Linked DNA regions of Arabidopsis thaliana. The protein of the gene in region 1 interacts with the protein of each later gene in a pairwise test. Each region holds a gene or a part of one and is shown in the gene's direction. Other genes may lie near its edges.

Region 1 (3,753 bases):
AAAAAAGAACATGCATCTCAAGATTAGTTTAATTCATTATATTTAAAGTAGTTCAACCTAAGTGACTAAATCACAATCAACCCCTAACGTAACTAAGTCTACAAATTAAACCAACAGTCAACTACATCTTTTTTTTTTTTGGGTTGTAAGTTTAAATTTACTAATCAACAAAATAAATGATTATATAAAAAAGAACTACAATTTAATATTTATGATCAGCATATTTTTTCTAATGAATTTTTAAATAGTTGAATGACCAAATTTCGATATATCTACCAACATCGTCAATTGATGATTTTTTTTATAACTAATTTTCAGTGTTTTATTTCTAACTTTTACTCTATGTTTTTACGGTAAGATTAGAAGTGTCAAGACTTGGATATTATTTTGCTTTTTATTAGAATTAGTAAATATAAGGAAAACAGAAAGCTAAATTTTTTTAAAAAAAGCTAACTCGGTATTTCTTCTTCATTTTTGTAACAGAAAAACCCCACAAAATTTGTAACTATGCAAAGTCCGAGTGGAAATATAATTTGAGCTTAGGATCATTAAATCCCTATATAGTTAATTAGTACTAAAAGGAATTATAGAAAAGAAAATGACTCAGTTAATAGGACCACTCTAGAGGAAGAATAAATAGTTTAGGTGTTAATGGAGGGATATATTTTAGAATTAGAACTGTCACATTGGGAAGTGGTTCTTCTTGCTAATGTATTTTAGAATCATTCAAAAGAAAGAAGAACTAAATAATTCTCTAAACTAAACATTTAATCAAAATTTTAGAAGACAAAAAAAGAAGAAGAAGAGAGAACAGACATCTTTGGGCACCTCGGAGAAAAATAAGCATGTGAGACTCGATGCACATCATTAAATGCTTTGAGATGACATGGAAGATTCGGTTCTCGGTATTTGCTCTTTTGTTTCTATTTTATTTTCTTACCCAAAGAAAAAAATAAAATCTTTGGAAACGGTGGGGGAGGAGACAAGAAGCAATGTTTGACTGAGTTCAGTTAAAATTTATTGAAGTCTCTTTTGTGTTGAAGAGTTGGGACAAAAAAAAAAAAAAACTTTAAAGACCTGAGGGTTTGGTTTTTGCTTAAACTTTAGTTGAATGAGTGAAAGAAATGAGTTTCTGTTTATGTCGGAATTTAATAAGTCTGTAAGATTCTGTAAGAAACAAAAAGAAGCAATCTGAAACATCAGAGCTTCGTGCTAATCCGTAGACTTGGACTCTAGCTCTTGCCGCCTCGTCTTTTCTTATTTTACAGTTTTAACTCTACCTTCGATATCAATTAGCATATCATTGATTATCACTTTCTGTCAGTAAAAACTTGTATATCGTTAGAAAAAACACTAATAAATGTAATATTTGGCGATACAAAATTAGATTGTATAGGATTTTGTTTTTCTTTTTTTCAAAAATAAACTATTTATTAGAATTTCCAACTTAGACTATATAGTTTCATAATCAAATTTACGATTACTTTTTGTTTTCCATATGAATATGATTATATATTTAAGAATGTTAAAGAAGACTAATTTTTTCATTTATTCCGGTTTGTATATAAATAGGTTACCATTAGATATGTGTTATCTTGGAGTACTCTACAAATATTTTCTTTACCAATTGAATCATTTCAATCTAAAAAAATACTGAACTAATGTCATTGGTGCTATTTATAATTTGACATATAATTTTATTTAATTGTAAAATTTAAATTCTAATCTTTCTATACAAAATTTAAACAAAAATGTAATTAATCTCGTTTAATTGTAAAATCTAAATTCAAACTCTTATTTATAAACACATAATTTATATTTAAATTTTGTTTAATTAAAAGTAAATAGATTTTGAATATTTAAACTAATATGAATATTTTTAAGATGCACATACTTTTTTTTTTTTTTTGGTAAGGTTTAAGATGCACATACTTTCTCTAGGTATCTAGTAATTTATTCCTTCAACGTCTGAATCGGCCTCAAATTTTCTGATTTGGGCTTAGTTTGGTCCAAGTGGGCTTAATCAAGCATATCATAACTGTAGTTTGGGCTCATAACGTTTTTTTTTTTTTTTTTTTTTTGCGCTGCGCAGTTTAGCTTTTGATGGTACGGCTTATTTTAACAACGAACTCGGAATAAAAAAGCTTTTGACAGAGAGAACGACCATAATTCAATTAGGGAAGTACTTTCACAAACCGGAGAAGATTATCGGAGATCGCAAACTATGGCCGGACGAGATCGTTATATTCCATCATCAGCAGTTTCAACTTCATCATCTTCAAGATTATTAGAATCTCAATTAATCGAATCCGATCGAAATCGAGCTCGATCTGTAATCCTCGAGGATCGAATCGCAATCCAACACCGTGAAATCCAATCTCTTCTCAACGACAATCAACGATTAGCTGTAGCACACATCGGACTCAAAGACCAGCTCAATGTAGCTAAGCGTGAGCTCGAACGGTTACTTGAAACCGCTGTTAAAGTTAAAGCGGAAGGAGAAGCTAAAGTGCGTGAGGTTTATCAGAATGCGTTGAGAATGGAGGCGGAGGCTCGTGTGATTGATGGACTTGGAGCTGAGCTTGGTCAGGTTAGGTCTGATGTACAGAGGTTAGGTAGTGATAGACAGGAGTTAGCTACGGAATTGGCTATGTTTGATGATGAGATGGCTAAGGCTAAACCGAATTCGGATCGAGCTATTGAGGTTAAATTGGAGATTGAGATTCTTCGAGGAGAGATTCGTAAAGGAAGGTGAAAATTTGAATTCTCTTTGTTGTTTTTGTTGGAACATTGGATTTGTTATCTTGTAGTGTATACTCATATGATGGTTTTTTGGATGCTTATGGAGTAGTAATGAATTTGTTTGAGGTTTGGGATATGAAACAGGGCTGCTCTTGAGCTGGAGAAGAAGACACGAGCTAGTAACCTTCACCATGAGCGCGGTATGGAGAAGACTATCGATCATTTGAATCGAGAGATTGTAAAACTTGAGGAAGAATTGGTTGATCTGGAGACTAAAGCTAGAGAAGCAAATGCAGCTGCTGAGGCAGCTCCAACCCCAAGTAATTTCTCTGTCTTTTTTAGCTTTTTGCTTTACACAGTTTAACTGCAAAACCACCTTATAGTTTTGATGATTTGTTGATGTAAGGTCCTGGATTGGCTGCAAGTTATGGAAACAACACCGATGATATATATGGAGGTCAAGGCCGGCAATACCCGGAGGCTAATGGTACTCATGAGGTACACATGAGTCTATAGATAAGTAGTAACTTTACGTGATCATCTGTTAGAAGTTCTCCTAATTTAGCATTATTATGGAGAAGGAGAAGATTGGACTAATTGTTTGTAATGATTGGCATACCAAGTTCTGATTGTCTTACATTCTGAACTGATATCTTAGCAAAATAGCTAGTTCTCAGGGAAAAAAGTTATGTTCATAGGTTAGTAAGTGTCCAACTTGTACAAGTATCCGTTGGTTAGTGAGAATTGTTGTAAACTCATAATTGACTGAATTCAACGCTTATGATAAGATTGCGGTTTTACTTTAACATTGTTCGATTCTAGTAGTGTTTAACATCACACAAATATACACTTCAGGCATATAGAGCATCGGATTGTCTCTCTCAAGACCCATCTACTCCATTGCAGCATCCTCTGAATAATACTCAACATTCTAGTGTGTTGTGATAGTGTCTTGCTTACGTTTGAATAGGCCAGCCATATACTTGATTTGACAATTTTTGTTTTAGTGTA
Region 2 (3,753 bases), on another chromosome or scaffold:
CCTCACTCTCTTCAGAAGTATTGTACCCTTCTGCTTCTAGTGATTCAAGTGCAACCTGCAGCCTTGCTTCAGCCAGAGATAATGCCATAGTAGCCTTCTGAACAGCTTCTTTAGCAACGGACTCTTCATCAACAGCCTCTTGAACCACATTAAGTGTTTGGTTTACATCGTTCCACGCACTGGCTGCTTCATCCTTAAGTGCTATCGCTACCTCTGAAATCCTCTGAGCCTTTTCTTCAAACATGGTACTGTTGAGACTAGCCACTTCCAATTCTTTAGTTGCCTTATTCAGTAGATCCCTGAGTTCCTCCAAACTAGGTGCAGAATCTTGCTCTCTTGTGTCTTTCTCTTCCTTAGAAAACGTAACCTCCCTGTCATCACTACCTTCAGCAAATTCCAAATTCCGGTCATTCCCAACCAAATCTCCTACAGAATCGCTACTTTGACAAAGTAACCTAAACCCCAGCGGAACATTTTGGGGTTTTGCAGGAAGCAAATGACCGTAAAATCTTCCATTGAAATCAGCATTCAAAGTCAAAGAAGAACGATACGATACATTTCGTTTCGATCTAATAGCTGAGCGAACTTTAGAATCAATCATCGGATCCCAAAATCTAGTGCCGCCGAGTCCTTTGGGACAGAGTTTCGCACTTATCATTCGATTCGGCAAGCAGTAACTCGCAAAATCCGCACCACCGTGAAACATACTCTGGCGCTGAACGCTAGACGCAAAATCCATATTACTGCTGCAGAAAGACGGAGAGAACAAGAGACTGACCGATCATAAGAGAAGAGAGCTTCAAGGCTTCAGCTGATGAAGAATCAATGGCGGCGAGAGTGAGTGAGAATCGAGTAGTTACTGAGAGGAAGATGAAACGTATCTCCTGAGAAAAAACGTAAGAGAGTTCCGTTTCAACAGTATTTTTCTCGGCGGTCTTCAGATTTTCCGTCCAACTCTCTCTTTCCTCTTTCAGTTTTTTTTTGCCCAATCACTCGTGGTAGGATTTTTTTATAAGAAAGTTACGAAAATGCCCTCTCGTGCTTAGAGAGATTCAATTCGTGCACATATAATATGCCGTGAATATACCACCAACTCTCTTACTCGTACTCGCATGTGGTGCGTGCAATATACACGTGGTTCGAATCAACGGCTACGTTTTACTGATAGGTGGCTCGTTTAGTTTTGCACTGCCTTTGGGTGCGCGTGACCAAGTCATTTTCCAAATGTGTTTTAATATTTGTGAACTATTATTAATAAAAAAGCGAGCGACGTTGTTCGTTGATGAGGGAGCGACCGTACGCTTGGCGACCTTCTCTGATTGCGTAGAGTCGTTTTCCTTATTGGGCTTACCTAGTACCGTCAGCCCACAATGTTTTCATTTCTTTCCCACCTAAAACTAAAAGTACTCACAAGTCACAACTTAAACCAAGTACACAAGGATTTTATCATGGGATTATCGTGTTTGAAGACTAAAAAGAGCACACCATCACCCCCATTAGTGCAGGTAGAGTAAGACAGTAACTTTTGGGTTCATATTACCGAGCAAGAACCGTTATTTGTGATTAGACATGTTATAAACCACTGCTTTAGTGACTATTTAAAACAATATATTACATGTCGTAATCATGCAACCTAACTATGTTTTCATTAATCAAATACAAAGAATAAAGAGAAAAGTGCGTAGATTCAATTATTTGGCATAGACTCAAAAGAGTGTATATATATCTGACTTTTATTAAATTATTAAACACAAATACATATTTTCATAAGCAAAACTATAAAAGCCCTAAACATATAACGATTACCTCAAAGGAAAAAGTCGTTTTCTCCTAATTAAAAGATAGGTTACTTCCTAATTAATATATAATTTATGTGAACTTCACAATATACAGTTCAATAAAATTTGGTAATTTGACCGATTTAAGGAGAGTGGAAATTAGGGCTTCTGCAATCTTTTTTCTTCGCCGCAATCTCATGTCCAATTATCCACCGACGGTGGCGGCGCAACCCACAACGACGGCGAATCCACTGCTGCAGCGACATCAATCTGAACAGCGACGAAGAGAATTACCGAAGATTGTCGAAACAGAGTCTACAAGTATGGACATTACGATCGGTCAATCTAAGCAGCCTCAATTTTTGAAATCCATAGACGAATTAGCTGCGTTTTCAGTTGCAGTGGAAACATTCAAACGCCAATTCGATGATCTTCAGAAGCACATCGAGTCAATCGAAAACGCAATTGATTCCAAACTCGAGAGTAACGGCGTTGTCCTCGCCGCGCGGAACAATAATTTCCATCAGCCGATGTTATCGCCTCCGCGGAACAATGTATCTGTAGAAACCACCGTCACTGTGAGCCAACCGTCTCAGGAGATTGTACCGGAGACGTCGAATAAACCGGAGGGGGAACGTATATGTGAGTTGATGTGTAGCAAAGGTCTGCGTAAATACATATACGCGAATATCTCTGATCAAGCTAAGTTAATGGAAGAGATTCCTTCAGCTTTGAAATTGGCCAAGGAGCCAGCGAAGTTTGTATTGGATTGTATTGGCAAGTTTTACTTACAAGGGCGTAGAGCATTTACTAAAGAGTCGCCTATGAGCTCTGCGAGACAAGTTTCGCTTCTTATACTGGAGTCTTTTCTTCTAATGCCTGATCGTGGTAAAGGGAAGGTGAAGATTGAGAGTTGGATTAAAGATGAGGCGGAGACGGCTGCTGTTGCTTGGAGGAAAAGGTTGATGACTGAAGGAGGATTAGCTGCGGCTGAGAAAATGGATGCAAGGGGTTTGCTTTTACTAGTTGCTTGTTTTGGTGTTCCTTCAAACTTTAGGAGTACAGATTTGCTGGATTTGATAAGGATGAGTGGTTCGAATGAGATTGCCGGTGCTTTGAAGCGGTCACAGTTTCAGGTACCATATTCTGTTCTCACTCGGTGAATTTCATTGCAAAGGTGGTTCCTTTTGTTGACATCATCGACCAACATCAAGTTCCATCTTTGTTTTTCGATAAGCTTGATGGTATAAACTAGGAGAGCACATCAAATATTTAGAGTGCAATGACTGATTGAGCCAAATCCTAGCTAGAAATTAATCTGGAAAGAACTTGGAACTCTCAACCATAGGTTTTGGTACGAAATTGTTGCTTGTCAGAACCAAATGATAGGCTATTGCCTTGAAATAGTGTTTCTTGTGGTTTCCAATATTGGAAGTTAAAATCATATGACTTAGCTGTTGGATACTAATTAAGCTTAAGCAATGCCAACTCTAAGAAGTGGTACTTACACAATATTCTATTGGTCATAGGTATAGTTGAATCAAGTATCAAGCGTGGAATGCATATTGAAGCTCTTGAAATGGTTTATACCTTTGGCATGGAGGATAAGTTTTCAGCTGCTCTAGTTCTAACTTCATTCTTAAAGATGAGCAAGGAGTCATTTGAGAGGGCAAAACGGAAAGCCCAGTCACCGCTGGCATTTGTATGAACCCTTCCCTTGCACATTATGTACCTTTATGAACTCTTTATCATCATCTGAGTCTGACCATTGATATATTTATTTCTCAACAGAAAGAAGCGGCTACAAAGCAGCTAGCTGTGTTATCATCAGTTATGCAGTGTATGGAGACTCACAAGTTAGATCCTGCGAAAGAACTACCAGGATGGCAGATCAAAGAGCAAATTGTTAGCTTGGAGAAAGACACTCTTCAGCTCGACAAAGAGATGGAAGAGAAAGCAAGATCTCTCAGTTTAA
Region 3 (3,753 bases), on another chromosome or scaffold:
AACATAGCTAAAACCTCGCAACGTGGAATAGCTTACCTGAAAGTCGAACAAGTCGTTCTGGAAATACTTGTGAGAGAGTATCCACAAACCATAAATTGCAGCTGGTATCACCAAGCGTGGAGAAGAGAGAGCCATGCCACTGCCCCTGATTGTCCTCACTACAAAGTCCTCAAGGTCTTCACTTCTGATCCCGATTCTGAATTGGGACAATACAAAAGCAAGTTCAGAGCAATGTGAGTATGGGAAGTGAGAAGAAAACGTGACCAGACTAAAAAGTTGTCAAGGTCTTTACTTTTTAGACTTTTTTTTCAGGAAGATATCAGGAACAGCTTCACGTGATAGACCATCAGCGTATCCATACAAAAGCTGAAGGTACAAGCAACTGCACTATGATCAGATTTGGTTAGGAATACGCGAGTGCTCGATCAAGCATGTTGCAGAACTATATCTTACAACGTCAAGGTCTATTTATGTACAAACCAATTAAAATAGACAACTAACCTGAATAGAACCCCAACTGCATAACTGACTGCAGCCTGTCATATGTCAGAATATTTCTTTCAGACACATTTTCGTATAGAGAAGCCATAGTATAAACTGGTTAGAGCTTTGACAGAGCTTACCTGAACTGATAAAGCTAGTAAACAGTATCCGCTGCATCCAGTTCCAATTACAATCGACAGGTACATGAGTTCACGCTTCAGCTACAAAAATAAAGACACAAACGCAGCAATTTCAAAGTTCATTCTACACAAATTGACTACTGGTACATACTGAACAGCCATTTTGCATAATAGAGTGTTTTGTTGAATCATAAAGATCTGACTGGCAGACTAATTAAGAAAACATACTGAAAGGAATAATCATACAGCTTCATATTTCAGAAAGTTAAACTTCTTCCTTCTCTCGCTGTCATCTCGTAGTGCCTGCAATCAAGGAAGTAGGACAAACGCAGCAGAGTTTTGCAATGAGAAGGACGTGTGAATGAATGAATACAGAGAACAAGAACATTCATAAATAGATGACCAACCTTAGCTAGAGCTTTCTTATTCATGGGGGCAGAATCACTCTCCCAACCAATCCATTCTTGTGTCGGTTTAAGTTTCAAGAAACCACTTTCATCATCATCAGCGCCATCTATCAAGCTTTCCTGCATATACAACATAAAGACATTAATAAAGGAGCTATACCAAGTTACCAACCAAAGTAACAGTACCAAGTATAAGATTGTTGCCATGAAAGCTATAAATTTGTGAGATTTCAGAAATTCACAAACCAATACTGGATTTCATAAAAATGTAGTCACTCACATAACAATTGCAACAGGATCATATAACTATCAAACTATTCCTCGATACAAAGTTAGCAATTTTAATCGTCAAAAGCAAACTTAGAACTGAAGAAAAAAAACTAGCTACAGTTACTAATGAACAAGTGAAAGAAACTTAACCCGAGTATCATCTAGTTCAACAGCTGAAGAAGAAGCTCCATTGGAATTAACATCAATAGATTCGAGAATCTCCTTTAACCAGAGCCTATCAGAAACTTTAGATATGAAATCTCCATTTTCTTCTCTGTCTTTCATGAACATTTGCAACACATCCTCCTCCACTAGCTCACTCACTAAAAACAAAGCAAAAGACATGAAATTTTCCACAAAGAGCGAACATTTGAGTAGTAAGGTTCAATGTAGAGAGAGAGATTGTCACCAGAGCGAGAAGCGGCATTAATGGCGGCCAAGCGATGGGAATTCCTGTTGGGAGGTCGCCGGAGATGATGCGGCGGAGAAACTCTCACCTTCGTCGGAGGAATGGTTCCGCCGGAAAACCAAGAAGCGGCGGGAATCGAGAGACTCTCCATGTAGCGAGAGAGTGAGACGGCCTCTGGTTTTTTTCCAGAAGAAGAAGCTTATCACTATTGTTGATGAAGAGAAAGAAAGTTTCCAAAAAGAAGACCCTTTTATTATTCATATATTATAATTTCACCCCTTAATTTACATTTATGACTATTGAGTCCTGTCTTTTTGTTTCGCCCTTTTCTCTAATTGTTTTCGTTTTCTTTCTATTTCTGAGTTTAGGAAGTGTGGGGTGATTTTGTAAATAAAGGATAATATAAAGGCCCATTGTTGCAACAACATGTTTAACATATAAACTTTGTTAGGAAGAGGTTTTGGCAATTTGGAGTCAGAGGGAGGCGTTGCAAACTCAATAAAGCTCAAAACTTTCCGCCGTCGTTTTCGTCGTCGGAGAATACAACAAAAGACCTAAAGCAGATCAAAGTAATTGTAGTTGACGGAGATGGAGAAAGTAAAGATTGAAGAAATTCAGTCCACCGCTAAGAAACAACGGATTGCTACTCACACCCATATCAAAGGCCTTGGCCTCGAGGTGCTCCTTCTCCTCTCTCTCTTTGACTCTAGTGGATTCCAGTAGTTTGCTCGAGTTTAGGGTTTAGTTAAGGTTTTATGTTCTAAGCTTTTTTAGGGTTTTAAAGCTATTTGCTTCGTTTGGTACTACGCTTAGAGTTTCTTTTCTCTGTTCTAGCACAAACAAACCCTAGTTTTCATTTGTAAAGTTTCGACTTTTCTGGGGATAAGATGCATTGCAGTATTCTCGTATTGCTCAAAGTTCTTTAAGGTTTTGTGTTTAAAGTTTAATGATTTTTAGGGGTTTCAAGCTCATTGCTTCGTTTGGTATTCTCCGAGACTCTTTTTTCGGCTCTAGCACAATTATACTCTAGTTTTGATTTGCAAATATTCAATTTTAATACATGTATTTTATGAAATATATAGTACTTGACCGATGTTTGAAGACCTTTGCTCTTCCACTTTGGCACGGCACTTTGATTTTAATTAACTATCTTTGCTTCTTTTACTGACTGTAGTTTCTCAAGCATCTGTGTGATCTCGTTCTATAACCAGTACATCATTTCTGTTGCTAATGTTGCGTCTCTTTTTCTAGCCAACTGGTATCCCTATAAAATTGGCAGCTGGATTTGTTGGTCAACTTGAGGCTAGAGAGGCAGCTGGTCTTGTAGTTGACATGATTAAGCAGAAGAAAATGGCGGGCAAGGCTCTTTTGCTTGCTGGACCTCCTGGAACTGGGAAAACAGCTTTGGCTCTTGGAATCTCTCAAGAGCTGGGAAGCAAGGTAATTTTGGATGTCTCATTTTGTATCTTCTTTGTTACATTGTTTCCACATGGCTTCATTGTATGAAGCTTTTTTCTTTTACTTTTAGCTTATTTTATCTGGATTGTTTCTTTCTTGCAGGTTCCATTCTGTCCAATGGTTGGATCTGAGGTTTACTCATCAGAGGTTAAGAAAACAGAGGTTCTCATGGAGAATTTTAGACGTGCCATTGGTCTACGTATCAAGGAAACCAAAGAAGTCTATGAAGGGGAGGTGTGTTGCTATTTGCGGTTTCTTTTGCTGTGTTCTTATGCAATAGCATGTCTCGCTAATTGGTTTTTGACATGTTGTCCTTGTGTTCTAGGTCACCGAGCTGTCACCAGAAGAAACTGAAAGCCTCACTGGAGGTTATGGTAAAAGCATCAGCCATGTTGTAATTACACTCAAGACAGTCAAAGGAACCAAACATCTGAAATTGGATCCCACTATCTATGATGCCTTGATTAAGGAAAAGGTCAGTTCTTGGCATGCGATGCTATGCTTTGGATGTGGTATTTTCCCCTAAGTTTTTGCTTTTCAGTTTGTTCCAAAACCTGCTTTTCTTTTCACCTTTTTGGTTTTCTAA

The links.
Region 2: the proteins of AT2G30120 (region 1) and FRI interact in a two-hybrid assay, tested with the Arabidopsis thaliana proteins (one study listed by BioGRID).
Region 3: the proteins of AT2G30120 (region 1) and RIN1 interact in a two-hybrid assay, tested with the Arabidopsis thaliana proteins (one study listed by BioGRID).

Annotation. Positions count from the first base shown.
Region 1 is NC_003071.7:12,860,334-12,864,086, reverse strand, and holds the start of AT2G30120 (protein FLC EXPRESSOR), read left to right. Parts: upstream 1-2,115; 5' UTR 2,116-2,224; coding exon 2,225-2,751; coding exon of another isoform or gene 2,752-2,755; exon of another isoform or gene 2,756-2,868; coding exon of another isoform or gene 2,869-2,881; exon of another isoform or gene 2,882-2,886; coding exon 2,887-3,062; intron 3,063-3,148; coding exon 3,149-3,240; coding exon of another isoform or gene 3,241-3,258; exon of another isoform or gene 3,259-3,408; coding exon of another isoform or gene 3,409-3,480; exon of another isoform or gene 3,481-3,597; coding exon 3,598-3,687; 3' UTR 3,688-3,753. UniProt on the Arabidopsis thaliana protein: Transactivator required for FRIGIDA-mediated activation of FLC and for the expression of the repressors of flowering AGL27/MAF1 and AGL31/MAF2. Does not alter expression of known activators of FLC expression.
Region 2 is NC_003075.7:267,051-270,803, forward strand, and holds the start of FRI (FRIGIDA-like protein), read left to right. Parts: upstream 1-1,850; 5' UTR 1,851-1,975; coding exon 1,976-2,914; intron 2,915-3,307; coding exon 3,308-3,313; 3' UTR 3,314-3,480; intron 3,481-3,569; 3' UTR 3,570-3,753. Other genes in the region: KEA2 (K+ efflux antiporter 2), read right to left, coding at 1-739.
Region 3 is NC_003076.8:7,392,616-7,396,368, reverse strand, and holds the start of RIN1 (P-loop containing nucleoside triphosphate hydrolases superfamily protein), read left to right. Parts: upstream 1-2,088; 5' UTR 2,089-2,297; coding exon 2,298-2,387; intron 2,388-2,960; coding exon 2,961-3,149; intron 3,150-3,269; coding exon 3,270-3,401; intron 3,402-3,492; coding exon 3,493-3,642; intron 3,643-3,753. Other genes in the region: AT5G22340 (NF-kappa-B inhibitor-like protein), read right to left, coding at 37-196, 293-382, 502-536, 624-704, 870-926, 1,031-1,150, 1,451-1,623, 1,710-1,860. UniProt on the Arabidopsis thaliana protein: Proposed core component of the chromatin remodeling INO80 complex which is involved in transcriptional regulation, DNA replication and probably DNA repair.